Alligator mississippiensis: one gene and its partner. The protein of the gene in region 1 interacts with the protein of each later gene in a pairwise test. Links are inferred from orthologs where the notes say so. Each region holds a gene or a part of one and is shown on either strand. Other genes may lie near its edges.

What was found.
Region 2: the proteins of LRP6 (region 1) and GSK3A interact in binary tests that used the Homo sapiens proteins (3 or more experiments, as listed by UniProt). The link is inferred for Alligator mississippiensis from reciprocal best matches to the Homo sapiens genes LRP6 and GSK3A.

The regions. Positions count from the first base shown.
Region 1 is NC_081827.1:137,068,817-137,084,621, reverse strand, and holds the start of LRP6 (low-density lipoprotein receptor-related protein 6), read left to right. Parts: upstream 1-8,887; 5' UTR 8,888-9,046; coding exon 9,047-9,104; intron 9,105-15,805. UniProt on the Homo sapiens protein: Component of the Wnt-Fzd-LRP5-LRP6 complex that triggers beta-catenin signaling through inducing aggregation of receptor-ligand complexes into ribosome-sized signalosomes.
Region 2 is NC_081838.1:30,769,534-30,784,986, reverse strand, and holds GSK3A (glycogen synthase kinase-3 alpha), read left to right. Parts: upstream 1-9,259; 5' UTR 9,260-9,274; coding exon 9,275-9,524; intron 9,525-10,231; coding exon 10,232-10,419; intron 10,420-10,498; coding exon 10,499-10,582; intron 10,583-10,947; coding exon 10,948-11,058; intron 11,059-11,139; coding exon 11,140-11,270; intron 11,271-11,475; coding exon 11,476-11,582; intron 11,583-11,657; coding exon 11,658-11,755; intron 11,756-12,672; coding exon 12,673-12,768; intron 12,769-12,837; coding exon 12,838-13,024; intron 13,025-13,100; coding exon 13,101-13,181; intron 13,182-13,257; coding exon 13,258-13,328; 3' UTR 13,329-13,805; downstream 13,806-15,453. Other genes in the region: ETS domain-containing transcription factor ERF, read left to right, coding at 916-997, 5,369-5,603, 5,784-5,899, 6,205-7,259; ZNF526 (zinc finger protein 526), read right to left, coding at 14,249-15,453. UniProt on the Homo sapiens protein: Constitutively active protein kinase that acts as a negative regulator in the hormonal control of glucose homeostasis, Wnt signaling and regulation of transcription factors and microtubules, by phosphorylating and inactivating glycogen synthase (GYS1 or GYS2), CTNNB1/beta-catenin, APC and AXIN1.

The DNA of each region.
Region 1 (15,805 bases):
ACCAGATAACAAAACGTTTATTATAATCTGAATCACAGCATTTGACAAAGTAGGTTGTAGCCTAGGAAAGCTCATGCTGCTCTGAAGGAGTTAGTCTATGTAAGGTGCTATACTACTCTACCTTCTACAATATTTCAGACTAACAACTTCTTTCTAAAATGGTACTTGCATATTTTGGTGTTGAAATTTAGCCACTGCTAAATATTCATAAGGGTAGCATTGCCCGGTAGTCTAGTGGGCAGTGCAGAATTAGGGTTCGAATTCTGCCTGGTGAGAGCTGAAATCACTGCAGCCTAAACCCTGCTATGAGACCCTGGAGCAATACATTGGTCTTGAGAGCTCGAGTAGGAGTGGAGAAAAGCCAGGGAAGAGGCTAAGGGAACTGCATGACCTCAGACACTCTGGCTACCACTGCAGCAGTGACAGCATGTTTGTAAGGTAGGTGGTAGGTAAATCCCTGAGAACAGCTATCCTCCATCTCCACTCTTAAAGTGTTCCCACAGAATTTCTGTTGAAGTAGTCTGCATGTGCAGAGCTTTAGCCTCAAAGCAACAGCTCAAGCTGTTTCTCATCTTCAAGTTCTTAGCTGTGTGAGAACATTTGTGGCAGGCCACTTGGAGCCACAAATAAATGTCTGGTTGTCATTGTAAGCATCATGCCAGCTGCTAGTAGTAATAGGGAAGGAAGAAAGGAACAGACGTAAAGCACATGTAGATGACCATGAAAAGGGCATAAAGAGAGAGTGGCCACTGTGTATGGCAAAAGGGAACTTGAGTGGGCAGCTAATCTACTACTATGTAGGCACTACAGATGAAAGGAACAATCACTGTAGGAACAGTGAGTGTCATGCTTGTTATATAAATAGACTTCTCTGGTAGCAGCAGAGATATGAAGAGACTGGACCAAGATACAGGGATGAGATGAGGGGGGTCTCTAGAAAAAAGACAAATATTCCATTTGCTCATTCAAGGAAATCTATTAACTTAGCAGTGGAGTGTCAAAATGTGTCCCTTTTGATACTGGCCCAAGGGTTCACTAACTCCATTCTACCCACTGGTTACAGTAGCAGTATTGTAAAGAGGCTATTACCTTTTGGAACGGGACCAAAGAACAAACCCCTTTAGCTATAGTTATTATGAAGTGCATTCACCATAATTTTATAACTGACCTGGATTTGGAAAGGACAAGAATTAAGTCTTTTACGAGAAGTGAATACAGGGATTGTGGAAAGTGTCAGAGTGATGATGCTGGAAGCCAGTCTTCTATTTATCTAGTGCCATAAAATCAATGACAGTTCAAACCATCATTGCATTACGTTCTTCTGCACCCCAACCTTTCCTTTTCAGGGTGAGAGAAAACTTGATATTGGTGAGAATTTTGCCATTGATTTCAGTACAGCCAGCACTTCACCCTCCAGTGCCCATTGAGCAAGGGAACTAATCGTGCTGGTGGTTTCTGTTACCAGCTCACCAGACTTCAGCCCTGATACCTGTAAAGGATCCCATTGACTTCACTGGGACTTAGTGTTTTCATAAGAATCCATCTTTGTGCTTGCACAGATCTCTTTGCAGAGGCAGTCTTTGGTTGTACTGAACCTACAGTCAGAAGGTTGAGTTCTGAAGCAACTACTAAATATTAATCACTACAAGGAACTCTATATTACAAAAAATGCACATCCTCTTCTCACTGCCATTTATTTTGTTTTGCCTTTGAGCATAGATCAACTAATGTACCGAACCAGGTCTCTCAAACTGCTGCAGTGTAGAATGCATGAGGTACTTATTATGTGGTACTGCTGAAATAGAGGTGCACCAATAAAGATTTTCTTGGCAGATACCTATAGCTGATTATTTACCAGGCATATTGGCTGATACCAATCTGATAGCCGATTTACAGAAGCACAGCGAGGCAGCATGGAGAGCAGCTCCCTGCAGGAAAGTCTGGAGGGGAAGGGGCAGGGGGTGGAGCAGATCAAGGTCCCTGAAGTGAGGGAACAAGTGGGCGGGGCAGGAAGTGGGATGGAGCCACGGGTGGCTCATTCAAGGGATCAGCATTCCAGCATGTAAAAATTTCAGTGAGGGTGGTTGAACTAAAGGTCATCAAATGACCTTTGGTTAGTGCACCACCACCACCACCACTTTTAAGCACAGGGACACTTTTAGGAGTAGAGCGGAGCAGGGAGAGGTTGGATGCGAGCTGCCTGCTGCAGGCTTGGGGCTCTCCACCCTGCTGTCTTTGCCCTGGGAGCTGGTGCTAGCTGCATGTCCACTGCCTGTCCAGCAGTGGGGGCTACAACTTGCCGCTGCCAGACAGACAGGGGACACATGGCCAGCACACAGCCCCTGGGACAAAGGTAGCAGGGCAGAGAGCCCTGAACCTACAGCAGGCAACCCGCATTCACTCCACACAGATCTGGGGGGGCACATGTCCCACCATGACTCCCTCAGGGAGGTTTGCAGTGGCAGGGAGCCATGCCCTCCCATCCCGCATGACCCCTGACAACCTGCCTGTGGCTCTGTCCCACTCCCTGCCCTGGTCCCATTTGCAGCCCAGGTTGGGCAGTGCCCCCAGCCCCTGCCCCACTCCCTCCTTCACCATGGAGGCCTTGATCTGCCCCCCCATGGCCCTTTCTTTCCACAGACTTACCTGTAGGGTGCTGCTCTCCACACTGCCAATCGGCATTCCTGGCCATGTGCATCTGGGGACCCCCACCAGAAGGTGTATTATGTTGATCCATTAACTTTATCGGCTCATCAGCCAAAAAAACCCAATAGCCAATAATGTCAATTCTCCTTTTATCAGTGCCGATCCAATATGGCATAGATCAGTGCACTTCTACTCTAAAATAAACTACATTCTGCATTTCTGAGCTAGAAATAAAGCTAGAAAAATACTCTTGCTTCATTCTTCATTAATGATTTGGAAGATGGAATGGAGTGCACTCTCAACAGATTCAAAGATGACACCAAGCTGTAGGGAGTAGTAGATATGCTGGAGGGTAGGGGTAGGATTCAGAGTGACCTAGAAAAATTGGAGGATTGGGCCAAAAAAGAAATCCCATGAGGTTCAACAAGGACAAGTGCCAAGTCCTGCACTTAGAACAGAAGAATCCCATGCACTGCTGCAGGCTTGGAACCAACTGGTTAAGCAACTGCAAAAGAGGACCTGGGTGTTACAGTAGGAAATAAGCCAAATACGAGTCAACAGTGTGCCCTTGTTGCCAAGAAGGCTAACAGCCCATTGGCCTGCATTAGTAAGAGCACTGGCAGGGGATTGAGGGAAGTAATTTTTCCCTTCTATTTGGCACTGGTGAGGCCACAGCTGGAGTACTGTGTCCAGTTTTGGGTCCCCTACTACAGAAAGGATGTGGACAAGTTGGAGAGAGTCCAGCGGAGGGCAACAAAAATGGTTAGAGGGTTGAGGCACTTGTTGTGTCCCTGTGATGCTATAATGCATTGTATACCAGACAAGGAGACTAAGACACAGTTGTTCTAAACTAAAAGTAAGTTTATTGAACCCTAACAGATACAACTCTAATTAGAACTGAAGCAGCCTTAGCAGTTAAAAATGTTAGGTTTGTAGCTAGTCAAAGCAGATGCTCAGCACCCTGTAATGTTGCAAACACAACTTCACTGCTTGATCAGGCCATGAAGTCTTCTTGTCCAGGGCTCCTGGTCCCCACATCTGATGTCAAGACAGGATCTTGGATCGGTGACAGGATCTCTTCAAGCTTTCTTCAGGAGTGTTCTGAAGGATACACTCCCTCACCTTTCTTTATATCATATAGCTTGTATTTCTTAATATGTAAAATTAGCTTAAACTTTCCTCTTAATACACATTGATAATCTTGCTTCTGTTTGCCAAATATGGTTACCTTTAACTAGAATTTTCTATCTTGAAGTAATCTTTTCATTCTTAGGTGGGGGTAGGTTTTGCTCTGACTGTTCCTCTTTTGCCCATACCACATTTATTCCGTTTAGTTAGCTAGCTTCCTGATTAATTTTAAGTCAGAGACAGTATTTTGCCATCTGTTCCTTTCACTGGGTGCATGTCTCAACCACAATGCAAGCTAGGCATACAGCTTGAGCCAAGCACAAGGGTCAAACCAAAGCCTCAAGGCCTCTGGGTCCCAATACACGTGACTTCTGGGGAAAGGCCACAGGAATTGGGCTTATGTAGTCTGAAGAGAAGACTCAGGGGGTGGGATTTAATTGCAGCCTTCAACTACCTGTCTGTAGAGTGGTTCCAAAGAAGATGGAGTTAAACTGTTCTCAGTGGTGGCAGATGACAGAAAAAGGAGAAATGGTCTCAAGTTGCAGCAAGGGAAGTTGAGATTAGATATTAGGAAAAACTGTCTCACTTGGAGTGTAGTAAGGTACTAGAACAGGTTACCTAGAGACGGGGTGGAATCTCCATCCTTGGAGGGTTTTAAGGCCTGGTTCGACAAAGCCCTGGCTGGAATGATCTAGTTGGGGATGGCCCTGCTTTAAGCAGGGGGTTGGGCTAGATGACCTCCTCAAGTCCCTTCCAACCTTAATTTTCTATGGTTTGGTGGAAGGGGTAAAGGGGGTTGGGCTCGATAGCTCAGGGAGAGATTCCTCCCCCCTTGTGTTATACAATTCACTACAGATTTTGCATTCCTCTTTTTAAAAGGTTAATAACTTATTTTAAATTATGACTGTACAATTTAAATTACACTACAACATTATGCAATTGCTATTTCTTCTGGACCTAGCTCAGATAACATTCTGCTTTTCCTGCAATGCTGAGTTGTGCTGACCAGGGCTGGATATAGGTCACTTGGTGCCTAGGTGCAGGTAATAGAATGCCATCCTTAGTGACTTTTAGGGGTGCCTGGGACACTCCTGAGTCTCTTTACATTTGCCCTTCCTGCTGGGAACAGACCCCCGCTTCACTTACCTGCCAGGTCCTGATGTTTCTTTGGGTTCTGAAGAGGAAGCTGCCCCAGGGTTTCCCAGTAGGGTCATGAAGCTCAAGAACACCTTGCAGTGACGAGCATCAGCCTTAAGGGCTCTTTGTATGCTTCTACCTTCCCTTAACATGCTCTATGCCTTATAGGTGTTGCCTGTATACCATCCATTTGTGGGGGCTTCAGCCTCCTGAGCTTCTGCTCCTTTTTATCTGGCTAGGCCTACCAGCCAAGGTCCACGATTTAAGACTTGACTTCGAGGCCCTAGCTCAACAAACCACTCTGGGCTCCTGGCCCGTTATACCACGGCACTGGGCTCCCCAGTCTCTTTAACACTGCACCCCTGTGGTGCTGAGTTGTTGGGGCCTCAGCCTTCCCCAACTTTACCCCTTATTCTATACCTTGGCCTCCCAGCCTAGGCCCACTTGGTAGGACCTGACATTGAGGCACTAGGGCATCCCTCCACTCCGGGCTGCGTGCCCTGTATGGTTGTGCCTGCTATAGCACAGGCTCTTTAGCCCTCCAGCTGTGCATTGTGGACACTAATGAGGTCTCCACCTCCCCTACAGCCTCAGCCACAACCAGTCTAAAAAAAAACATAAACAATAAGCCTCTGCGCTATAACAAAAATAAAGGCAAAGAAGACAATTTGCCTGCTTATGTTTCCAGGGTCTCTGTCTCTCTGCATCCCACCACTAGCTGCTCGCTCTCTCATGAAGCTGCCCCTACTTTGTGAGTTCTCAGGAATCCACTCTCTCTGCAACTTAATCCCCCCCCAGCCAGTTTAGGCATCACTTATGTAGTCCTGGCCTGAGCCCTCTTCCAATCACCTGATGCCCCCTCAGCTGACCAACCAGCCAGACTCAGCTTTTAACCCCTTTTCTGCCAGTAGGATGTGCCCTGAAGGCTCTGGTCTTAAAGGGGCTGCCCTGCTTTCCAGTAACAGGGCTAGGGTTCCCTGTTACAGTGCAGCATGGCATGCAGAAATCCCTGCTCTGCCCCTGAGGTTTGCATTCTCCAAATGCAGTGGCAGAGGCAAGGGAAGCCATTTTCCCCATTAAGAGACAGAGGGCAACATTTGGTGTCATTATCTACCCTGCAATGGCAACAGGGGCCCTCTCTAAGTCCCAGAGATTTCCAGCGTTTCCCAGTATCTACCCTGACTGATGATGAAATCTATTTGGCTGGTGGCATAGCTGTACCTCCTTTCACACATCAGGTACTGCCTCACCAGCAAAAGGACACTTGCTGGCATACAAGCATCAACAAGCAGGGTATTTTTTCTGGCATCACTATGTTGGTTAGGTGGCTTGATTTATTTTTTTACATGCTTCTAGTTGACTTAACTCTGATAGGAAAATCTTGTAATGTAGATCCAGCTCCAGCAGACATCACTACTTTCGTTTACACTATTTATATTCTCAAGCTTGTCCTTGCAGTCATTAAACTAGAAACAACCTACTTTATAGAACTGTTTTCCATGGAAGCTGAGATTCAGATATAATCACACGGCTTCAGGACCTGGGGCCTCATGCAAGATCCATAATCAAGTCAAGTGAGTTCAGAGGTCACTGTGACCACTGGGGCACCTTAGATGCTGTGCATTATTGGTGATTCTTCAGGCAAAGTGACATAGTGGCACCCATCTCCTCTCCAGGTATGGGATGGCCGCTGTCTCACAGGGAGCTCATCTGCCCTTTGACAAGTCTTGTTTTTATTTCTGCTGGGTGTCCGCACATACTCCTCACTCAGGCTAGCCTGGTGGGAGCACCGGTTTAGTTGCCAACAACCCGACCCAGAACAGGCTGTACTGGTTTACATGGTACCAGAGAGCAGACCAAGAGAAGCCTGGCTTGACAGATCCATAATACCTAATTTTAATCTGGTTTTGATGCTGATTTCCTGTGATAAATAATAATTTGAAAGAATAAGCAATTATGAAATATTTGTTGAGCAAGTATTCTTTTTTCTGTGTTTCTGATAGGTCTGAACATGTTATGACCATTTAATGTGATATTCTCTCACCTTCTGCCGTAAACGTTTGTGTATTAGAATTGTGTTCTATTAAATGGTTGTTACAAGGCAGATAAGAGACAAAGTGGTGGGTAAGTCCTTATGTATGTCTCATTGTATGAATCAGTAAATGGAGCTTGTAATGTGAATGAAAGAAACTAATGAACAGAAAATGTGTCAGTGGATCCAAGTACAAAAGACCAGAATACCTTGGAAAAGAAGTATTTTAAAGTTCTTATAAATGGATAACCAATATACTGTGCCTCACAAAACTGTGAAAATCTATTTATAGTAGTTTTCCAAGCAAGGGATATATTTCAGTGGACATTATTTGGGGAAATGGTCCAGAAAGTGTGTTTAGGTATGAAACATAGCCTCTCTGTTTTATATTTGGGCTTTTTGACCACTTTCAAAGTAAAAAGGGAAAAATAATGGCGACCAAAAAAAAAGCAAACAGGGACATTTGTGTGAGCAATTGATCAGGCAACATTACTGCAATTAAGCAGCAAAATCCTGACAAAAGGATTAAGGTAAGCAATGAGGAAAGGCAAGATTGTCGCTTGCCAGTTCGCACGGGGGACACGCACACAGATCATAGCTTTATTGTACAATGCAAGTTTTTTTTTGGGGGGGGGAGGAGAGACAGGCTACTGATACTCGAGCACTACACGACTGAGCCAGTTCGTTCCTTGTCCCCACCCCCGGCAGCGGTTTTCAACCCTGTTTTCAGACTGGAGGCCCCCCCGGGAAAACTCTACCTCTGCTTTGAAGATGGAAAAATAACAGGGCAGCTTTTCCCTCCCCAAGAGCTGCGAAGGGCCACCACAAGGCAGAAGGTTTTGAATCCTAGGGATTCCTAGTTGAAGTCTCTGGGTTCGTCCCGGGATCCACCTTGCGTCCCCTCACGCCCAGGGCACACAAAGGAGACCCCAGTCCCCGAGGTCGGACACGTCGCGGCTGCTCCAGCGGGACCCCGCGACCCGCTGCCGGGGGCGTCGCATGCGCTCTGCCGCTGCCTCCCCGCCAGGGGAGCCGCGCGGGCCACCTGCAGCACTGGCAGCGGATCAGGCCGCCCTTTGTGACGCGGCGGCTGCGACTCCGGCTGCTGTCCTGTTCCCGAAAGTAGACCCGGCTATCCCGCTCCCCGAAGGAAAAGGGAGGCGAGGAAGAAAATAGTCCCGTTGGTATGCCGCCGCCGGCGGATGCGTCCCCGCGCCTGTGCAGTGAGGTTTGCAAAGAGCCGGGGCTGCGGGACGCGCTACACACAGTGTGGTGTAGGACAGGGCAGTGGACGGAGGTGGTGTTATGCGATGTACTCCAATGTACAGTAATGTACAGCAGTGAAATGCGATGCACTCCAGTGTAGTGCGATGCAATGTGGGGCAGGGTAACGCACTCCAGTGAATGGATTCATAGATAATACGCGGCAGGAAGGGGCCTTGGAAGACTGTCGTGTCCCGCCGACCTGCACCCAGCAGGAAAGACAGCTGGGATCAGAGAATGTGATGCACTGCAGTGTAGTATAGGGCAGTGAAACGCGATGCAGTCCAGTGCACAGAGGTGCAGTGTAGAGCACTCCAACGCTGCGTGGCGTCCGGCAATGCAATGCACTCCCATGTAGCGTGCTGTATGGCAACACAATGCAATGCAATGCAACGCACTCCAAGGCAGGGGAGGGGAGGGGAGGGCAGTGAAATGCAATGCGATGCACTCCAACCCCCGAGTGCAGTGCCGTGCAATGCACTCCCACGCTGTGTCAGGCAAAGCAATGCACTTCCGGCTGCCCAGCGCACGGACGCACGCAGGGAGAGGGCCTGGAGGCTGCAGGGAGACAAGCGGGGCGGGGCGCCGGTAGGAGGCGGGGCCCGTATCCCTGCGCTGAGCTGCGCTGCGCACACGGCGGGGGTGGGCCAGGCGCTCTGATGGGGGCTTTGCAGCAGCCCTGGCGCGGCGGCGCGGCGGAGGCGGCGGCCTGCTAGGCAGGGGCAGGAGCGCGAGCGCGCCGCGGGGCCCCCCGCCCGCCCGCCGCAGCATGAGCCGGCCGCAGCCGCGGGGGTGCCGCCGCCCGCCTCCCCCGCGCCGCCGCCCGTGAGAGCCGGGGACATGGGGCCCGCGCCGCGGAGACTGCTGCTGCTGGCCGCGCTCTGCGCCCTCGCGCGAGGTGAGGCGGCCGGGGCCATGTTGCGGCAGGGAGAGGGGCTGGGGCCGGGGCCGGAGGGGCTTCGGGGGTCCCCTGAGGGTGGCGCTGGGCTGGGCGCGGGCCCCTTCTCGCCTCCGTGTCCCCGCTCCCCTCGGGCGGGGGCCGTGGGCAGGGCATGGGGTCCTCTGCGTGCCGAGGGGGAAGGGGTGGTCTAGAGGCCGGCCTTGGGTTGAGCTTTACTCCCGCCCCCCACAACAAACCAAGCGCCCCGTCGGCAAGCAGCGTACGATGGGTTTCTTTGAGGAGCGCGGGGCCTGGCGGCTCTGTCCTGAGGAGTGTTTATGGTCCTTCTTGAGCATCTTGAGGGGCGTTAAGCTCCTCTCATCTGTCCTGAGAAGTGTTTAAGGCTCTGCTGAGCTGTCCTGAGAAGCGTTCACATCCTCCTTATCTGTCCTGAGAAGCGTTAGGCTTCTCTCTCCTGTCCTGAGAAGCCCCTCACATCTGTCCTGATACTTGTTTCAGGCCCTGCTGATCTGCCCTGAGAAGCGTTTCAGGTTCTGACCCTGTCCTGGGACTTGCAAGAAGTTTGTGGTCCGGAAGCGGTGGGTTGCAGTGACTGATGCTCTGCATTTTCAGAGCTCCTCTGAAAGCTGGCAGTTGGCTGCCATTCAACGTTTTTAATTGAACTCCCCCCCCTCCCCCCCTTCCTGCGCTGTGGAGCACAAAACTGCAGCCAAGGGATTTCTGTGCTGTACGTTTGACTATAATAACTGTTTCAGCTCATCTGAAATGATCTCTGTTGGTTAGGAGGAGGCACCTAGTTGGCATCTTTTTTTTTTTTTTAATTTACTCTTTTACACAGTTAATAAGGAAGGGGGGGAGGCTTTGATACTATTGGGGGGGAAAAGCAATCCCATTTTTTACTTAAAAGCTGGCCAGCTGGCACTAATGAGTTTGTTTTGATGGGAACTGGAAGGAAGGTGGTTTGGTTTGGAGGAAGTGCTTGATAGCCAGTTGCTCAGTGCTCTGGAAAAGCAAGATTTCGCCACGGCAGTCCTTGTCTTCCCATGCATCTGTTTGCCATATTGTATCCTGTTGGAGGGAGAGTTATACTTAGGTACATGAGCTGTGTAACATTTCATGCCCTACTTGTGCTAGAAAAGTTTGATTGGATCTCAGGAATAGGAATGAACCAAAACTTTTCTGAATACAGCATTTTCTTATTCATGTTTTCTTCATGCAAATGTATCTAGCTCTAACTTTGTTTATGACTTGGCTATTTTTTTTTCCTTTCGCTATAGTGGCAAATGGAGGAGGATTTTGGCACTCATGACTGTCATTTTTTCAAATTAGCACACAGTTGCATATACTTTGCAAGTTTTCATGAACCCTGTGATTCTTAGGGAGAAACTTTTGAAAGACATTAAGTTTGTAAATCATCCTGGATTGTCACCCCCCCCTCCTCCCATCTTTGTCTGTTGCTAAAGACATTTGCATCAAAACAGTATCTTTGTTTCTTCAGAGTTCATCTGCTCCTGCTGCTTCTCTTCCCACCTGAAGTCTTACTCTCAGTGACATTACAGTAATTTCCACAGCAGCTAATTGTTATTTTGGATACCTATAAGCAGCAGGAGCAACTAGCTGAGTGCTGAAAGAAAGAAAGCTTGAATTTTCATGCAGATGCCCTTTCTAATAAACAACATATGATATGCAAGCAGAATTGGCTCCAAGTAAAATGTATTCAGTTTTCAAGAGGTGTCAGCAGTTTCTTAATGAGGCAAAAGCAGTTGCCAGCTTGAGAATGTTAGAGGTATGATTAAGTTTATACATGCAGGTAAAGGGGAAGTTTGGCATATGTGTGTTTACTTCTTTCTTTGTGAACTCAGCACTGTGAAATGTGCCAAACTAACAGCATGGGAGATGTGAAGGATGCTTGATGTGCAAAAGATGCAGTGGAACACATGCTTTCTTTGCCTACCTAATAGCCAGATGACAGCAGTAATTTCTGTTAACGTGCCTACCAACCCAGAGTGAATTTAAACCAATATCCTGGAAGTATAAGGTTGCAATTAAATCCCTTATGATTAAGACTTGGAAAAATAGCAGACACCTACTAGTTAAAGTGGATATGTAATATATAGGACCTCTTCACCAGTCCTGGGACTGTGAGAAGCCAGGCCCGCTACCAGGTGCAGAGTGTATGTTGGATTTATAGTGGGTTGATGTCTCTGGAGCCTACTGAAAAGTTCCTTTGCTTGTGGCAGCCTCTGGCCTACTTTGGCAGCTGGAAAGAGAATATGTGAGGAGTCCACCTTATCCTAGAACTGCCCAATGGCTGGAATTCTCTGAACAGCAGCAGTGCCTGCTATTGCTTGGAGCTTTCTCCAAACTACAGAGGAGTGTGATGGACTTGGTTCGTGTCAGCTTCACTGTTTCCCACTGCATTTTAATAGTAGCTGTGAAACTGCTGGAGTATTATTAGATTATTCAGTGCTGCATGGAGGCAGCAGTAGCCAAGGAAGATGATACCACTTAAGTTTACATTTGCAAACTTAACTTTCCTGTCAACCCTGCTAGGTATGCATCAAAAGTTGACTGAATAGAAAGCTTATAAATCATGTATGGGCTTTACATATTGCAGTATTTGAATACTGAACAGGTCTGCAGTTGTGGTTTGGGTCAGTTCTGTAAGAAATGAAGTGTTTGGTTGGGGGACTGACATTTCAGTGATTGCTTTTTCTCATTATGTGAAGAGATGTAGAATTTGTTTGGTAACTATTTTTATTGGACTAACTGTGTAGTTGGGAGAGACAAGCTCCTGGGCAGAAAATTAGAGTGTATCCCATATTAGAGATGGGTATATGATATTGTATGTTGTTCTACTTGGTTTCCCTCTGTCTCACCTGAAAGCTTTCTGAAACCAGTATGATCTAAAGTTTGGCAAACTCCATTATTAATACAGAAGTTGCCACAATTGTATCTCTACAGCATGTTGCATTGTCATCCTATAATCACTGAAAGACTCTTTTTAGGAGAGTGATTATTACATCTGTGGCAGAGTTTTTAATGTGGCTGAGATCTAAGATAAAGTAGCATTATGGAAAAGGATGTTAAAAATGTGATGGAATATGCTAGTATTTCTGTTTGGCTAAAGTTTTAATTTACTTTGCCAGAAGTTTGTGATAATGATGCATTGCCTATATCCTCCTTTTAGGAGTATACAAGGTTTTAGCTGAAAAATGTAAATTATAATATTTTATGATTAAATATATTATTCAGAGTGACGTTAAGCAATCGTGGTTTATCCTGCATGTCTGCTCTCCTCCCCCTCTCCCCCGCTGCCTCCCACTCTGTAACTGGTGTCTTATCTTCACTCACAAAATTTTTAGCAAGGTGAGAGATTCTCTTGTGTATATATACAACTGTGCAGCTAGGAAATAATATGGGAATATTCATCTGCCTGTCTCTGGGAACAGAAACATCTCTGTATTTTCAAACATCTGTGTCTGCCTTTATGATGACACCCCCTCTTAGAAATCCTAGCATCAAGAATTCTTCCTCCATAGACCCATTCCCCTGTTTACTTCTTATTCTTAAGTAGAGCACAGTATTTTAATTTTTCTCCCTGACTCTTGGGGAAAGAAGAATCTCTCATCTCTTGATCTATTGCCATTCATCTCTGGCAGCCAGCCCTCATCTTCAGTCCAGCATGCTTTGTAACCCCCTCAGACAATGTCAGGTCTGAGTTTATACTTTTTTTTTAACCACATAAAAAGACTAGAGCAATTTTTCTGTTGCAAAGAAATCAGACCATAACAGGGCAGAATAGTTTGGACATTAGAGATTTCATACAGGAATCTATAGGTTTATCTTGTGCATCATGTTTGCACACCAAACAGTGCTAACGTTGTGTGGCATCCCATGGCACCTGTGAAAGGATCTCAGGGCACCTCAGGGTGCTGCAGCACCCTGGTTAAGAATCATTGCGCTAGACCTTCTTGGACAGGATGCTTGGAGGAACTCTGCCAGAGGCATGTGGCAGCAAGGGAATGGAAGTAGGCCCCACAATTTCATCCCTATTAGCTTTCTGCTCCTGCTGTCATAGTCACTGCAGGGAGGATGTTGACAAGGAGGTCTGATGACCCTGAGGGGACCATGTATGGGAGGGAGGGGCCATATAAAAAATGTGTATGTGTACACACAAATACAGTCCAAACATCTGCTTGAGGGTCTTGAGATGCCAGACTGTGTTTCAGGTGAATTTCACTTGTAATTAAAGAAATACAGCTTATTATACTCTCAGCATTCATTGTGGTAGACAAACTGATGAAAGATGCTGTGCTCTATGAATTTTGTGGCCAAAGTGTACTTCAGGGAAATAAGCTCTCTTTTCTAACCCTTCATTGGACATGTGCAAAGAAGTGTGGATTGAAAATGTGACACTGTTGTGAGGTAAGGATTTTTATAGGTGATATTTTTTTATTGCACTAGAGTCGTACTTGGGAGGAACCCGAGACACCTCCGTCCCTGGCACCATGACCAGCTGAGGGTTTTTCAGCAGGGGCTCAGTAAAGCCTGGTACAGACTCCAGGCTTTACTGGAGCAACCATGTCTGGGATAAAGAAACTCCCCCCAGAGGTAGTGCAAGCACCTACTCTGGACTCTTTCAAGAAACATTTGGACATTTAACTTGCTGAGATCTTTTGACCCTAGCTGACTTCCTGTCCCTTGGGCAGGGGGCTGGACCCGATGATCTTATGAGGTCCCTTCCAGCCCTAATGTCTATGAAATCTATGAAAGTTAGACAAGATTTTGGGCACAATTTAACCTTTTTCAGGTCACCTGCCCAAAAAGTTATTAAAAGCTTTCCCAGATGTATTTCCCAGGAAATACCAAAGAGACAAGGATTTTTGTGGCTGATATCTTTAACTGAACCATCCTGGCTACAACATCACTCTGAGTCATTTGGTACTAAATTGCTTTTCCTTCAGTGAAAGAAAATCAGTTGCAGTATCTTGTCCCAGGAGAGGGCTGTCAGTTTATCTTGCAGTGGTCCAATCATTGCTGTCAAGTCAGTGATCCTTTTTTCCTTTGTGAGTCGTTAAGAATATAGTCCAACAGTTGGAGTTTTCCACACTGAATTCTGAATTCCTGTTGCCAACAAGCTGCTAACTATCCTGTAGATTAGAAATCTGAAGGAAGATGAGAACACTTGGAGATCCTTCTTTGTACTTGAAAAGATAAATAGATACTTTTTCAAACATTTCTGTCTAGAGTGTTTAGACTTGACAGGCTGCTCAAGTATTGAAAGTGTCGACAAAGGAAGATAGTTAAAAACTGAGGAAGAACTTTGAGTTCTGCTTAGGATTTGGTGTTACCATGAGCTTTTCATGAAAGCAACCTGCACATCAGTGTGAAAAAGGAGTTGCTAATAAAAGGAACTGTGTCCTCAAAGACAGAGCACAAGGGGCAGTGTTTCATCAGAAAGCACAAATTTAATAACACATTGACTTAGCTTCTTGGACAATTCAGTGCATATTTTAATCACTCTCATATTGCTTCACATTTCCCACAAGTATTTCTGATCATCGAGGAAATAGGTGTGATTATTTTTGTTTCTACTTAATCATGCTGCTCTTCTTGCATAGGTGCAGATGTGCTGGTTGCAAAACACCATTATTGTTACATGTAGAATCTCTTAACTATTTGTTCTTATGTCACAGCAAAGTTTCTTTTTTCTGTGCTAGCAAAGGCAAGTGATTGTTGGAGTTACCAGTAACGTAGTTTGCAAACAACAGAAGTTGTGCAGTGCACCAAGTAGGGTGGAATGATTTATGACTTAAATAGAAATAGGAAAATACTGATGTCATTGTGCAAAGAACTGTTTTTACTGTAGATGGTTCTGGTCACTTGTATTAAAAAAAAGTGCGGAAATGGAGAGCAAATGTTCAAACTGGGAAAGGTGCAGAGTAAAAGAGTTTAACTAGTTTAGCGTAGAGAAATTAAGGTTAAGAAATGTGATGACTGATTTCTCTAACTACATGTTTGGAGGGGGGAGAGATACCAAGGAAGATTCATAGATTGATGGGCTGGAAGGAACCTTGGAAGATCATCGGCTCTAGCCCCCTGTACCAAGCAGGAAAGATAACTGGGGGCCAGGTGACCCCAACAAGGTGACTGTCTAGTCTCCTGTTGAAGATTTCCAGGGTAGGTGATTGCACCACTTCTGGAGATGAAAATTCTGGTGAATAACAAGCTGGCCAAGAGTAAATTCAGGTTCAAGGAAAAGAACAAAGTTCTAAAACAGGTTTCCAGTGTAAAGAATGTGGGCAAAAATCCCTAACTATTTAAAGATGAAGTTTATGAAGTTTTTGAGAGGAGCTGTGATATGGTAGTCTGCCATAGCAGTCCTAAAATGTCCATGATTTAGGGCTGAAAAAAACCCCGTCTCTTAAGATTTGAGTCATCAATGTTAATCCTGATTTTAAATCAGCCAGTATGAAGACTCTATTTAAATAATCAGTAATCTTAACTTGTTTTGCATTGTACTTCTTCCTAAAGAGTTCATTCTCCTTGGTTGATAGCGACTAAAATATATTGATTTATAAAGGAATGCAGCATTTACATTAAATTGTATAGTTCTTTGCATTATCTACAAGCATTTACTTTATCTGGACACGTTTATTCAGCACTTGCTTAGCTCAACACATATTTTTTTCAGA
Region 2 (15,453 bases), on another chromosome or scaffold:
CACATGTCCATATAGGACCCAGGAATCCAGGACATGCATGAACACGCGAGCCAGGCATGGAGAATGCTCGCACGCGAGTATTAGGGATGCGCTTGTGTGCTTGCACACGCAGAACCCAGGCACCTAGGATGCCCCCCTGCAAATCTCCAAGCATGGGGCTGTGTCTGTGCGCGTGCATTTGTGTTGGCACAACCATTCTGGGCACACGGGTGCCCTTGCACATAGGCCATGGCAGCTCCACACATGAAGACACGGGCGTTTTGGTGCGACACAATCACATGCATGGGGACATGGCACCAGGGTGGGGTCACAGAACGCTCACACGTTGCCTGCCCCTCATACTCGGCATGTTGCACACACGTGCCCTGGCCCCTTGAGCCGCCCCGGCCCATAAGGCCTCACACCTGTGACACAGGCCTCACACGCGTGCCTTTGCAGGCGTGGCTGTGCATGCTCTCCAGAGCCCACCCCGCCGGCCACCATCCTGGGCCTGGCTGAGGGCGGGAACCCCCGACCTGCTCCCCGCCCCACTCCACAGGCCTCTGCACCGCCCCAGCCCCAGCCTGGACCTGCCGCATTCCTGCGGCCTGCCCGCGCCTGCCCGCCCGCCCCGAGGCGCCTGCAGGGTGCCCCCGCCGGTGCCCCTCGCTCCCGACCCTACGTCCTGGTACCCCCCACTCCCGACCTGCAACCCCCACTCGCCCCGCCCTGGGCCCCTCACTCTCGACCCACCCCCCCAGCGCAGCGCCCCCTGCCGGCTGCCCCTCGCTTCCCGCGCGGGCCCTTTAAGCAGCCCTCCCCCCACAGCGCGGGCGGGGCCGGGGCGGGGCGGAGGCGGGGCCGCGGGGGGCGGGCCCAGTGTCCATGGCGACGCGGCGGTGACGTGTGCGGGGGGGCGTGGGCGGCCCGGTGCATATGAGCGCGGGGCGGGGGGGTGGGGGGGGCCGAGCCCGCGGCGGCGGCAGCGCAGGAGCCATGAAGACCCCTGCGGACGCAGGTGCGGACTGCGGGGGGGGGGCACCTAGGGGGGGCGGAAGTTTTTTTGGGGGAGGAGGGAAGACTTGTTGCTTTCCCCCAAGTCCTTGCGGGGGGGGGCTGCCACGTTGCCGGGGGGAGCTGCTCTCTGCCCCCTCTGTATTGGGGGGGTCGTGGGGGGGGTACCTGAGAGTCCAAGAAGAACTTGTTGTTCCCGACCCACGCGGCACCTTTAAGGGGGGGGGCTCCGCCCCCCCCCCACGGGGCCACGTGACACGCGGGGGGCCGGGAGGGGGGACCCCCCCGGCGCCAGCGATTGTATGTGGGATGCGGGCGTTTGGGAGTGCCCCGCCCCCTCGGCTCCCCCCCCCACACAGCCCCCCCACCAAACTTTTCCCAACTCCGAGACGGGGCAAGAAAATGGCAGGGGGGGGCACGGCCCGCGGGGGGGCACGCGGGTGCACGCACACAAAGGGGACTCAGGGGCGCACACACTCTTCAGTGCCCCCCTGCACTGTCCCGGGGGTCTCGGCCCCCCATAGACTCGTGTGTCTTTAAGGGGGGGCACGTGCCCCCCCACTCACTTCTGCGTGCCCCCCCCCCCGTTTCCCTGGGGGGGACTCTACCCCCCCAACTTCTGTGTGTTTAAGTGGGGGTGGGGGAAGCTGTGTGTCTTCATTTTTCACATGCAGTCTTTTAAGACTTGGGGGCTGAGCGCGTGTGTGTGCGTGTGCGCGCGCATGTGTGCGTGTGCGCGCGCACATGCGTGGGGCCACACACTCGCACACTCTTCAGTGCCCTTCCCTGCAGTTTACCTAGGGGGTCTCACCCTCCCCTCCAACTCCTGTGTCTAAGTGTGTGCATGTGCACAGTGTACGGGGGGGGGCATGCACACACTTTTGTGCCCCCCAGCTGTACTTTTCCAAGGGTGTTCTCCCCCCCCCACTCCTGTCTGTGTGTGTGGGGGGGGCACTGAAGACACATACCTACACACACACATGCACACACTTGTGTGCCCCCCGCCCACACTTTCCTTGGGGTGTCTCAACCCCCCTCTATTGTGTTTGGTGTGTCCCGGGGCCCACATGCTTACACATGCATGCACGCCTGTGGGCCCCCACACTTTCCCTAATGTGTCTTGACTCCTTCTACAACTCTTCCTTCTTTTAAGAGCTTGTGTGCATTTCTAGGGGGACCACGTGTGTGTGTGTGTGTGTGTGTGTGTGCGCACCCGCGCGCACACAGTTGTGACCCCCTATACTTTCCCTAGGATGTCTGAGCCTCCACCACAGCTCTTATCTTTAAGATTGTGTATGTACGTACATACCTACATACGCACAGGCACGAGTGTCCAGCTCCCCCCCACAGTTTCCCTGGGGAGTTTCAACCCCCCCCAGCTTTTGTCTTTAAGAGCATGTGTGTGTGTCTAAGGGGGCCACAAGCGTGCACGCACACACAGGCACGCACACATACACTTCTTTCCCTGGAGTGTCTCAACACCCCCCTCCAGCTCTTGTCTTTACGAGCATGTGTGTGTGGGCCCCCTGTGCCCCCATGTCTTTTAAGAGCTGGGGGCCTGTGTGTGTGTGTGTGCATGCACATGCAAGGGGGACCCACACTCACTTCCCCCCCCAGCTGTGGTTTCCCAGGGAGGGGGGGCAATCACCTGTGTCTTTAAGAGGGGGGTGTGTGTGTGTGTGTGCCCGTGTGTGTGTGCTTGCCTATGTGCTTGCCTGCTCGCACACGAGGGGGGGGATGATGTAATACCGCTCCCCCCCAGGCTGGAATTCAATCCCAGGCCTTTTAGCTGCTGGCTCCAGGGATTAGTCACAGGCCCGTGCGGTTTTGGGGCTGGAGGGGGCATTAAAGAGACATGGGCCCCTTTCCCACCCCGTCCTCTAAACTTTCCCCCTAGCCAGGGACCTGGGGGGTGGGGGCTGGGCTGGGAGGGGGTGCCCAGACGGGGTGGGGGGCTGGCGCAGAGTGGAGACGCTGGGAAGGAAACTTGGAAGGAGCCTGGCCGGGAACAGGCAGCGCATTGTGTGCGCGCGAGTGCGTGTGCACACGCGTGTGTGGGGGGGGTGAGGGGCTGGCTCCTGCTCCCCCCCAGTCCTTCTCTCCCATGTGCTTGTGTATGCGTGTGCCCCCCACGCCTGGCACACAGGAGTGGGAGGTGGGGGGGCTGAGTCACTGGCTGAGCTGTCCCTGTGTGTACCCCCCCCCCAGGATCAGAGCCTGCTGGGAGCTGGGGGGGTGCTCCCACCCCCTCTTAAGGGTGGGGGATCGAATGGGGGTGGGACAGCTTCATGAGGCGGGGGTCACGAGGATGCCCCCCCAGGCACCAGGGAGGCCTCAATTGTGCGGTGTTGGGGGGGTGCCCCTGCGTGTCTGGCAGCGCCAGGCCAGGAACAGTGGCCCATTCAGGGCTGGTGTCGGGCCCCTCCTTGGTAGTGAGAACAGGCCCCTCTGTGTGTGTGTGTGTGTGTGTGTGTGTGTGTGTGTGTGTGTGTGTGTGTGTCTGTGTGCGCGCGCGCGTGTGTGCGCGTGCGTGTGTGGGCCCGGGTGGGGGTGGAGAGCTGCAGCTGGATGGGGGGGCGGCTCTGAGCTCCAGCCTGCCTCCCCCAAATTGCCTGAGGGGTCCCCAATGCTGGGATGTGCGCCCACCTCTGGGACATCCCTGGGTGGGCGTCCCTGGGTGGGCCTCAGGACTTCCCACGACTGCAGAGTGGGTCCCTGGGTGGGCGTTCAGGACAGGAAGTGACCCGTTACCTGGAGAGGTCTCTTCAGGAGTGGGGTGCGCTAGACCCCCAGGTCCTGGGGTGGGGGCCCAGCCCCCCCTCCCCTCCCAGCAGGTTATTTTTAGCGCGCTCTTGCACTCTCCGTTCCCTGTTGCTTGGAGACTGGTACGCGGCGGTGGGGGGGGGTGGCAGTGTGTGCACCCTGGCACTGTTTGTGGGGGGGGGGTACAGCAGGAGGCTGCATTGTCCTCCCCATGGCTTTCAGAGCCCCCCCATATCCCAGCTCAGTTGTACCCCAGGCCCCCGGATCCTGAGTCTCATGCCCCCCTGTGTCCCTCCCCCACAAATCACAGCTCCTGTTGTGCCTCCCCCCCCCCCCCCCCCCCCCCCCCGCCCTGTGTCACAGCCTGGTGTCCTCTGCAACCTCTTGGATCAGATCCTGCTCCCCCCTATAGCAGGCCAGGCCCTGTCTCGGCCCCCCTGCTTCCCTCCACACTGGAGCTGGGCCAGGGAGGGGGGGCAGCCCCCCGGGGGGCTGAGCTCATGCCGCCAGCTCCGTCTGCGGCCGCCGCGCTCCCGGCCTCCATTACCAGCCCTGAATTATTGATGGGCTGCGAGCACTGGGGGTTCGGGAAATAGGAAACAGCCCCCACTCGCCCCCTGCCTCCCCAGTGCCTGGGTCTGGTCTGGGGGGTGCTCTGGAACTGATGGAGTTAAAGGGGGGTCAGAGCTGCCTGGGGGTGATGGCACTTGCCCCCCCCCCCGTACCCTCCTGACATAGGGGGCATCAGGCTCCAAGGGGGGGGTCCAAGGGGCTCCAAGGTGGGGCATCAAGATGGGTCAAGGGAGGTGGGTTAGGTGGCTGATTGGCCTTCTGGAAAATGGTAGTTCCCAGCTTCCTGTGGATGGGGGGGGCTGGGTGCCCCAAAACTTGGTGTGTCCACAGAGACATGCCCCTGGGGTGGGGGGGGCTCCGCTGGGGATCCCAGGGGGCTGTGTGCATTGGTAAGGGGGGGTCCCAGGCTGCAGGCTAGGCCCAGCCCCTCTCCCCCGCCCCCCCCCAGGAATGTGGCCGGGGTTGGGCGGGCGCCTGGCGCAGAGAAAAGGCTCCTTGTCTGGGAGGCGGTGACCTCAGCCGGCAACCATCCCACCCGCCCGCTCCCCCTGCCCACCCCCCACCCCACCCCCGCCAGCGGGGTTGGGGACCACTGGGGGGGGCGCGCCTTGGGTCTGGGGACACTGGGTCAGGAGGGGGGTGCTGCGGGTTGGGAGCGAGGGGCACCAGCTCTTTTGGGGGGAGCTGTGGGTTGGGAGTGAGGGGCACCAGTTTAGTCTGGGGGGGCTGCGGGTTGGGAATGAGGGGCACTAGTGGGGCTGGGGGTCAGGAGTGAGGGGCACCAGCTCTTCTGTGGGGGGGGAGGGTGGGTGGCTTGGCACTGGCCCTGGGCTCAGTTAAACCGGTTTCCTGTTGCCCCCCAGGTGGGGGTGATGTGCACACCTTGTGGGGACCTGGGGGGGTTAACCCTTCGGCTCCCGTGCCCATGCAGAACCCAGAACCTAGGCATCCAAGTCTGCCCCTGGGGGGTGACTTTGACCTCTCTGGGAATAGCCCTTAAAGGGCCAGCAGCCTCTACCTGACCCCCGCTGCCTCCCAGGCTTCGCCTTCCCGGACTGGGCCTACAAGCCAGAGTCGAGCCCGGGCTCGCGGCAGATCCAGCTGTGGCACTTCATCCTGGAGCTGCTGCGCAAGGAGGAGTACCACGATGTCATCGCCTGGCAGGGCGACTATGGCGAGTTCGTCATCAAAGACCCGGACGAGGTGGCGCGGCTGTGGGGCGTGCGCAAGTGCAAGCCCCAGATGAACTACGACAAGCTCAGCCGGGCGCTGCGGTGAGTGGGGGAGAACCCAGGTGTCCCAGCTCCCCGGGATCCCTGTGCTGTAGCCCCCCAGCCCCCACAGCTGACTTGGAGAACCCAGGCACCCCATGTGCCCCAACTCACTGGGCTGGCTGAGGTCCCTGGGGTTTGGGTGTGGTTGTGGTGCTGACCCCTGGTCTGCCCTCCTCCCAGGTACTACTACAACAAGCGCATCCTGCACAAAACCAAGGGCAAACGCTTCACCTACAAGTTCAACTTCAACAAGCTGGTGCTGGTCAACTACCCCTTCATCGACATGGGCATGGCCGGTGAGCGGGGGGGCCAGAGGCGTACAGGGGGCGGTGGGCTGGGAGTGAGGGGCACCAGGGGTGGGAGCAGGGGGGTTGTGGGTCAGGAGTGAGGAGCACTGGGTGGGGCAGGCTGGGAGTGAGGGGGCAAAGGGCTGCAAGTTAAGAGTGAAGGGCACTGGAGGGGAGCAGGGGGTGGCAGGTTGGGACTGAGGGGCACCAGAGGAGCTGCAGGGCTGAAGTGAAGGGCACTGGGTAGGGAGCAGGCACCAGCAGGTCACGAGTGAGGGGTTGTGCCCTAGCTCACTGCAGCTGTGTGCCTGCAGGTGGGCCTGTGCCACAGAGCGCGCCGCCAGTGCCGTCGGGTGCCTCGCACTTCCGGTTCCCGCCAGCCACGCCAGGTGAAGTGTTGTCACCAGGTCCAGAGGCCCCGCGCTCACCGGGTGTCTTTGCGGCCGTGGCACGGCGCCTGGCCCGCGGCTCAGTCAGCGACTGCAGTGATGCCGCCTCGGCCGCCTCGGAGCTGGAGGAGCCTCTGGGCGAGGACCCACGCCGCCCACCTGGCCCCGACCCCTTCCGTGGGGGTCCCCCACTGCCCACCCACCCTCGCCTGGCACCTGAGGGGCTGTTCCGCGTGTACCCCCGCCCACCGCCCCGCGCTCCCGAGCCCCTCAGCCCCTTCCCTGTGTCGCCGTTGGCTGGGCCAGGCGCCCTACTGCCCCCACAGCTCTCACCTGCCTTGCCCCTGACGCCTGGGCATGTGCCGTTCACACCCTCACCCACCCTCAGCCCCATGTTCCCCGGCGGGTCCCACTTCTCCTTCAGCCCGGAGGACATGAAGCGCTACCTGCAGGCGCACACGCAGAGCGTGTACAACTACCACCTCAGCCCCCGCGCCTTCCTGCACTACCCTGGCCTGGTGGTGCCCCAGCCCCAGCGCCCTGAAAAGCCCCCAGATGAGCCTCCTGGCGCTGCCCCCTTCAAGTTCAAGCTGCAGCCACCACCCCCTGGGCGCCGCAAGGCTTCTACTGCTCTGTCCGAGCCTGTCCCGGCACCAACCCAGCCACCGCCACGCATCAAAGTGGAGCCGGTGTCCGAGGGCGACTCAGAGGAGGAGACGGTGGAGGTGACGGACCTGAGCGAGGATGATGAGGATGTGTTCAAGGCGCCGCCCGCCCCTGAGCCACCCGCCCCACTGCCACCCCCCACACCTGCTGCTGCTGCACCCCCTAAGCTGCGCTTCAAGCGGCGCTGGAGCGAGGACCGGCGCCTTGAGGCCTCCGCGCCCACCCCTGCCGATGACAAGAAGGCCAAGGCCGAGCCAGGGCCTGAGCTGCAGCTTGCCACAGCCCAGCTCTCCCTGGAGAACCGGGACTGCTAGACCCCCTCCTCACTGCCTTATTGCCCCACCCTGTGCTGGGGGGGAGCCTTTATACCCCTCTCACCATTACTGGGGGGGTTGGGGGGCACATCGGGGACCTCTATGCCTATACATATATAAATACCTATAGATATCTCCTATTTTTCAGCCCCCCCCCCCCCCCCTGCATGGGGACTGCCCCCCCTTTGTTTATAGTGAACTTGCTGCCTTGTTTTAGGGGGTCCTGGCCCCCCCCCCCGGCCTTTTTTGGAAGCACAAGAAGCAATTTCCTCTCCCCCCCCCCCCCCCCCCCCCCCCCGTCAGGCCCCTTTTCTGCAGGGGGGGCCATGTGCCCCTCTCGGGTCTGCAAGGCCTGGGGGGTTGTGGGCTGGGCTCCACCCCCTTACATCTCCCCCCCCCCCCACTATTGATCTCGGGGTTCCCTGCTGGAAACCAAAAATCTGCCCCTGGGGCCGGGCCGTGGCCCCCCTACCCCCCCCGGGGCTTTCAGGGCTGTTGCAAGTGCCTGTGCTGTGCTGGGTCCAGGGGGCCGTGCCACCCCCCCCCCCACACACCCTGGGGGGGACCTGAAGTGACTTCTTCCCTTGCCCCCCGCCCCCATCTTGCCCCCCTAGGAACAGAGAAGCCATTGACACCCCCCGGGTTCTCCCGCCCGGGGTGGAGATCCCCCCTCATCTGGGGGGCAGCGGGGACCCCCCACCTTAGTGACCTTGTTGTACAGAACCGGCCGCGGCTTCTTTTACGAATGTATAAAACCCGCGAAAAATAACCAATAAACAGTGATTTGGAGACTTCCGGTACGGGTGGTGCTGGGGGGGCCGCGGGGCGGGGGGGCGCCCAGCCCGGGGCGGAGTCCGGCTGCATTAACCCCTTCCTGCCTGGCGGGGCCCGGGCGCTGGACAGCCCACCCAGGAAGGAGAAGCTGCAGCTGGGCCCGGGCTGTGGGAGGCGGCTCTGACCACCAGTCCTCACTGCCCTGGTGCCGTAGGGAGAAGCCAGGTGTGCCCCGCTCTAGGTGCACAGCCCTCCCCCGGCTCTGGCACTGCCCCAAGCCAGAGCGTCCGGGGCCCGCCCTGCCCCGCCACATCCTCCCTGCGGGGAAGCTGGGGGCGGGGCGGGAAGCCGCGGTGGGCGTTCCCCCCGCCGGTACCCCTCACTCCGGCCGCGCTTTGCGGGAGGACACGGAGACGGGAGGAGGAGCGGCGCGCCCGGGGAGCGCGCAGAGCAAGGGAGCGGGGACGCCTCGCGTCGCTCCGTCCTCACGCAATGCCTCTTGGGAGACGTAGTCAACCCCCCACAACAGCTGGGACTACATTTCCCTCGTCGCGCCGTGCAAGCTGGGAGCTGCAGCCCCCTTCGGGAAGCGGCTGGACTCCCCTTCCCGCCACCCCTTGCGGCTCTCGCGCGCTGCGTGCTCGGAGCCTCTCCATTTTGCCTCCTCGCTTTCCCGTCGGCCCCCGCGGCAGCACGTGACGTCACTGGCAGCTCACGAGGGTTCCTGCGCAGACACCCTATTTCCCAGTCTCCATTTCCTGTCAGTCCTTGCAGACGCCTACACCCCCCCCCCACACGCTCCCAGACTCCATTTACCGGAATCCCTCGCGGCATGCCCACCTCGGTTTCCGGTCACATCTCTCCAGTGCATGCGCAGACCTCCACACCCTCCGCAGCCCATTTCCAGTCACTCACAGGCGTACATGGTATCTACCCCTCCGACCTGCGGGACTCCATTTCCCAGCGTCCCCCGGCTTCACTCCGCCATCACGCCCCTCGGACACATGCGCACACCTCCTCCTTTTCTACCTGCCGGACTCCATTTCCCGTCATGCACAGATACTCCTATCTACGCGAGTCCATTTCCTTCCGCCCCCTGCCTCATTCTCCCATCACTCCCCTCGCGCGCATGTGCAGATGCCTCATTCCCTCCCTCTCAGGGACTCCATTTCCCGGCCGGCCCCGCCCGCGCCTGCGCCATTTGTTGCCCCGCCCTTTCCCGCCGGCGCTTCCGGGGCCGGATGGACTCGCTTTCCCGGCGGCCCCCGCGCGGGGCGGGGCGGGGCCGGGCCGGCGGCTGGAGGCGCCGCAGTCGCTCCGGCCTCGCCATGAGCAGCGGTAGCGCCGGCCCGTCCCGCCCGCGCGCCGGCTCCTTCGCCGACGCCGCCCCGCCCCCCGCGGCCCCGATCCCGGCCGCTGCGGGGGGGGGCAAGGCCGGGCCCGGGCCGGGGGGGGGCGGGGGCGCCTTCCCCGCGGGGGTGAAGCTGGGCCGTGAGTGGCGGCGGGGCGGGAGCTCCCATGGGGCTGGGGGCTCCTGGGCCTGGGGGCGGGCGGGTTCCCCATGGATTTTGGGGGGCTTGGGGGTGGGGCTGTTTCCCCTAGACCTGGGGGAGGGCGCCAGGGGGGGTTCTTAGGGGTTGGGGGGCAGGCGCTGGGCTGGGGGGTCCCCTAGATCTTGGAGGCTCAGGGTGGGGGGGCTGGGTCCCTCGACCTGGGGGAGGGGGTGGAAGGGTCCCTATGGGTTTAGGGGGGTCAGGGAGGCAGGAGGGGCAGGGCTGGGGGGTCCCCATGGGTTAGGGGTTCGGGGCTGGGAGGGAGGGGTTCTTTGGGGGAGGAGCCCAGGGCCTTGGGGTTTAGGCTGGGGGAATGCTCCCTGTGGGGGGGCTTCCAGAGCGATTTGAGGAGGTTTCTCTATGAGCAACAGGTCCTGGGGGGTCCCCCCCTGCACTGGGTCAGGGTTGGGGGGCTTCGTGTTTCCTAGGGTTTGGGGGTTATGGTCTAAAGGTGCCCAATTGGTGGGGGGGCTTTAGAGGGTTCTCCAGTGTCCTTATTGGGGCGGGGGATGGGGCTGGCTGGGAAGACAGGCTAGAGTTTTATGGGGGGGGCAACAATGCATGCTCCCACGTGGGGTTCACACCCACCTGGGGGGGTGGCAGGTCTCAGCCCTCGCACCCCTGACCCTGTGCCTCCCTACATAGGGGACAGCGGGAAGCTGAGCACAGTGGTGGCAACACCGGGGCAGGGCCCTGACCGCCCGCAGGAGGTCTCCTACTCTGACATCAAGGTGATCGGCAACGGGTCCTTTGGTGTTGTGTACCAGGCACGCCTGGCCGGCTCAGGTGAGCTCGTCGCCATCAAGAAAGTGCTGCAGGACAAGCGCTTCAAGGTCAGGCATGGGGCAGGGGACTCCCTTCCCCCCACCCCTGGGACCCCCCACTCACCCTGACTCTTTGCCCCCCCACCAGAACCGGGAGCTGCAGATCATGCGGAAGCTGGACCACTGCAACATTGTGCGGCTGCGCTATTTCTTCTACTCCAGCGGGGAGAAGGTGGGGGTGCTGGGGGGGACAGCCTGGGGAGGGAGGGGCAGGACTGTCATGAGCAGGGGCGGCAATTTGGTGTAGGGTGGGTTGGGACTATCAATGGGCCCTGGGGCAGTTTGGGGCGGGGGTGGGGCTGGGACTGTCATGGGCTGGGGAGCAGTTTGGGACTTGTCAGCGGGGGGGGGCAGTTTGGGGTATAGTGGGTCAGGATTTTTGGGGCAGGGTGAGCCAGAATTGTCAGGGGAGCGGGGGACTGTGGAGGAGACCCGGGGTCCTTGGAGGGCTCTGGGGAGCCATGTTGCTCAGCTAGGGATGCACAGGGGTGGTGGTGGTGGGGGCATCCCAGGGGGTCTCACCCCCTGTCCTCCTAGAAGGACGAGGTTTATTTGAACCTGGTGCTGGATTTCGTGCCGGAGACGGTGTACCGCGTGGCCCGGCACTTCTCCAAGGCCAAGCAGACCATCCCGGTCATCTATGTCAAGGTAAGGTGGGGTCAGGGGATGTGGGGAGAAACTCCTTGCCCCCCCTCGCTGTGCTGACCGCCCATCCCCTGGTGCCCACAGGTCTACATGTACCAGCTGTTCCGCAGTCTGGCCTACATCCACTCACAGGGTGTCTGCCACCGCGACATCAAGCCCCAGAATCTGCTGGTTGACCCTGACACGGCTGTGCTCAAGCTCTGCGACTTCGGCAGGTGACGCCCAGCCCTTTGTGCGAGGGTTACTCCCCACTGACACTCGTGCCCAGCCCCTTGTGCAAGGGTTCCTCCCCTATCATGTCAGAGGTGGTATGAGAGCCAGGCCAGTGGGTTGCCTCCCTCTGCTCCCCGTGGCTGGGCCCCTGTGCAAGGCTGTGGCTGGGCCCTTGTGCTCTGGCTCATGGCCCCGATTCTCCCGCAGTGCCAAGCAGTTGGTGCGGGGCGAGCCCAATGTCTCATACATCTGCTCCCGCTACTACCGGGCCCCCGAGCTCATCTTTGGTGCCACCGACTACACGTCCAACATAGGTAAGAGCACCCCCATCCTGCCCCTGCCTGCCGGGCTGGGAATCCAGGCATCCTGATACCCTGCCCTGTCCACAGATATCTGGTCGGCGGGCTGCGTGCTGGCCGAGCTGCTGCTGGGGCAGCCCATTTTTCCTGGGGACAGCGGTGTAGACCAGCTGGTGGAGATCATCAAGGTAGGTGGAGAACTGAGGCATCCGGGTCCTGTTGCACTGCCAGTACCCAGGTGCTCATCCTTTCAAGCCCATTCCTTTCCAAGAACAGAAAGAACCCAAGCATCTTGCTCGCCATTTCCCTCCCAGAACCCAGGAATCCAGGCCCAGCTGCCCGTTCTCCTGGGCCCTGTTCCTTTCCAAGAGTAAAAGGAGAACCCAGGCATCTGGGTCCCCGTTCCCTTCCTGGATCCCAGGAGTCCAGACTCCCAGCTGCCTGTTGTGGACCTTGTTTCTTTCAAAAAGCAAAGAGAAAACCCGTGTCTGGAGTTTTTAGTTGCCCGTCCTTCCAAAGCCTATTCCTTTCCAAGAACAGAAAGAGAACCCAGGAGTCCAGGTCCCCATTCCTTTCCCAGAACCCAGGTATCTGGGATACCAACCTGGACCCCGTTCCTTTCCAAGAGCAGAGAGGGAACCCAGGCATCTGGGTCCCTGGAACCCAGGCATTCAGGCTCCTAGCTGCCTGTTTTCCTGGACCCTATTCCTTTCTAAGAGCAGAAAGAGAACTCAGGTGCCCAGGCTCCCAGCTGCCCATACTGCTGGACCCCATTTCTTTCCAAGGGCAGAGAGAGAACCTAGGAGTCTGGATCCTTGGCGTCTGGGCTTCCATATGTCTATTTTCCTGAACCCTGTTCGTTCAAGAGCAGAGAGAGAACCCAGCTGCCTGGGCTCCCAGCTGCCCATCTTGCTGGGCCCTGTTCTTCTCAAAAAGCAGAAAGAACCCAGACATCCAGGTCCCTGTTCCCCTCTTGGAACTCAGGCATCCAGGCTCTCAGCTGTCTGATATCTTGGACCCCATTCATTTCTGAAAGCAGAGAGAGAACCCAGGCATCTGGGCAGTGGTGGGGGTTGGTGTGACAGGTCCCCCCTCTCCCCATCAGGTGCTCGGGACACCCACACGGGAGCAAATCCGGGAGATGAACCCCAACTACACAGAGTTCAAGTTCCCCCAGATTAAGGCCCACCCCTGGGCCAAGGTAGGTGGGGGGAAAGGTATGGGTGGGGGGTGTCTGGTGCCCCCACCCTGATCCCCAATGCTCCCCCAGGTGTTCAAGCCACGCACACCAGGTGAGGCGGTGGCACTGTGCGCCCGCCTGCTAGAGTACACACCGGCCACGCGCCTCTCGCCCCTGGCGGCCTGCGCTGATCCCTTCTTCGATGAGCTGCGTGAGCCGGGTGCGCGCCTGCCCAGCGGCCGTGACCTGCCCCCCCTCTTCAACTTCAGCCCTGTGGGTGAGTGCAGGGGGGGAGGGAGGGGGAGCTGGCCCCCCAGACCCCCCAGCCTGACCCCCACCATGTTTCTCTGCAGAGCTCGCCATCCAGCCTGTGCTCAACGCTACCCTGGTGCCCCCCCACGCCCGGGTGCTGGGGGGATGTGTGGCTCCCCAAGGTGAGTGGCCAGCTGCATTGGGTATTTTGAGGGTCGGGGATCCCTGAGTGCCCCCTGACTCTGCCTCCACCCCTAGGTGAGGGGCGCCTGAGCGGTGACAGGAACCAGCTGGGTGACGGCGCGGGACCCATCGCCAGCACCTCCTGAGGGGCTCTGGGGCCGGCCTCCCCCCCGCCTCCCAACTGAACTGTGAAGGGGGCGAGGGTTTAGCGTCCCTTCCAATGACCCCTTGGCCCAGCTGCTGCCTTGTGGGGGGTGAGGGGGAAGGTCTCTGTCTGCCCCCCATTTTAAAGTCCCTTTCAGTTTTAAGCCTCTCCCCCAGGTCCCCCCCAGAGCCGGTGGGGGGAAGCTATGGCTGTGCCCCCCCGCAACTATGGGGGGCCCCTCATGCTCTGGACCCCAATGGGAGTTTTATGTCCCTGCCCGCCCCTTTTGTAAATACACCCCTGCCCCCTCCTTTTATGGATCGCTGTGTAAATAGTTGATTTTTTTCTTATTGCCTCCCCCCCACCCCCCCTGCTGCCCCCAGATGAGCTGGAGGGGGGGTGGCCTGTGGCCCCATTAGCCCTTTTCTTAGACTTGGCTGTGTACAGACCCCTTCAATAAATTATTGGCATGACCCGAGGCAGCCTGTGCTGGGAGACTTATGGGGGGCAGCTGGTTTTTGAGGGGAAGGGGCTGAGAGGCACTTTCTGGACCCCACCCGTCTGCAAGGAGAGGCTGGGTGAGGTGCAGCCCTGCCCTTGCTTCCTGGGGTAAGGAGAAGGCAACACCCCACCCTGCCTTATTTTGCTGTAGCATAGGATGCCTGGGCCCCACTGGGGACATGAGGAGGGGCTGCAGGGCAGGACTTGTGGGGGAGAGGGGGATCCCTGCTCCCATTGCTAAACTAGGCCCCATGATGGGCTCCAGTGCCCCCCCCGTCCCTGGTCCTTGGGAGTCCCTGCCACCCTCTCGAGGGGCACAGATACCCCGACCCCAGCGCAAGGGGCTGAAACCAGAATTTTTATTTACAGTGCGGGGAGGGGGCGAGGTGCAGGGGGGAGGGGAGGCCCCCCGGCCCGGCCCTATACGAAGGCGTTGACCTGCAGAGCGTCCAGCTGGAGGTTGCCCTCGAAGGCGGCCTGGTAGATCTCGATCGTCTCAGCCAGTGGCAGTGGCTCGGCTGTCTCAATGATGGCAATGGCCTCCCCAAACTCGGTGCACATGATGGTCTGGGTGGGTGGTGCAGTGACAGGCGCGGGGGGGGTGGGCACTGTGGCGTGGGTGCGGCGGTGGCTGCGCAGGTTGGATAGCGTCTTGAAGGCTTTGGGGCAGAGTGGGCAGCGGTGCGGGCGCTCGCCTGTGTGTGTGCGCCGGTGCTCAGCCAGGTGCATGGCCTGCACAAAGGCCTTGGGGCAGAGTGGGCAGCGGTAGGGGCGCTCGCCTGTGTGCAGGCGCCGGTGCTCCTGCAGGTGTGTGGCTTGGCGGAAGGCCTTGGGGCAGTCAGGGCAGGGGAAGGGGCGTTCGCCTGTGTGTGTGCGCTGGTGCAGCCGCAGCCCTGAGGCTGCCCCAAAGCTCTTGGTGCAGAGCGGGCACTGGTGTGGCCGGAGCCCCGCGTGGCAGCGCTGGTGCCGGCTCAGCCTGCTCCAGTTGGCAAAGGCCTTGCCACACAGCACACAGGCCAGGCGGCGCTGCCCACCCCGTGCCCGCTGCACCACTCCTGCTGCCACATCCCGGCGGCACCGCTCACGCGGGCCATGCAGGCGCCGGTGCTGCTGGAGGTTGGAGGACTGCGTGAACCGCTTGTGGCACACGTCGCACTGGTAGGGCCGCTCGCCGGTGTGTGTGAGGTGGTGGCGTGCCAGATTGGCCTGTGAGGCAAAGGTCTTGCCGCACTCGCAGCACTGGAAGGGGCGCTCACCTGTGTGTGTGCGCAGGTGATTACGCACGTGTACCAGCTTCTTGAAGGGCTTCCCGCATGTGGGGCAGGGGTGCTTACGTTCCAGTATGTGCACCAGGCGCCGGTGCCGTACCAAGCGTGGATGGCTGGAGAAGGCCTTGCCGCACTGCGGGCATGGGAAGGTGCCTGGTGTGGTGGTGGGCAGCGGTGCTGGTGTGGGGTCTGGTGGGCGTGGGCGGGCTGGTGGCGAGCCGCTCTTGCCGGCATGGGTGCGGCGATGGTAGAGGAACTTGGTCATGTTGCTAAAGGCCTTGCCACAGGCACAGCGGTGCAGCGGGTTGGCCGTGTGGCTGCGCCGGTGCCCCACTAGCGTCATTTCGGTGCCGAAGC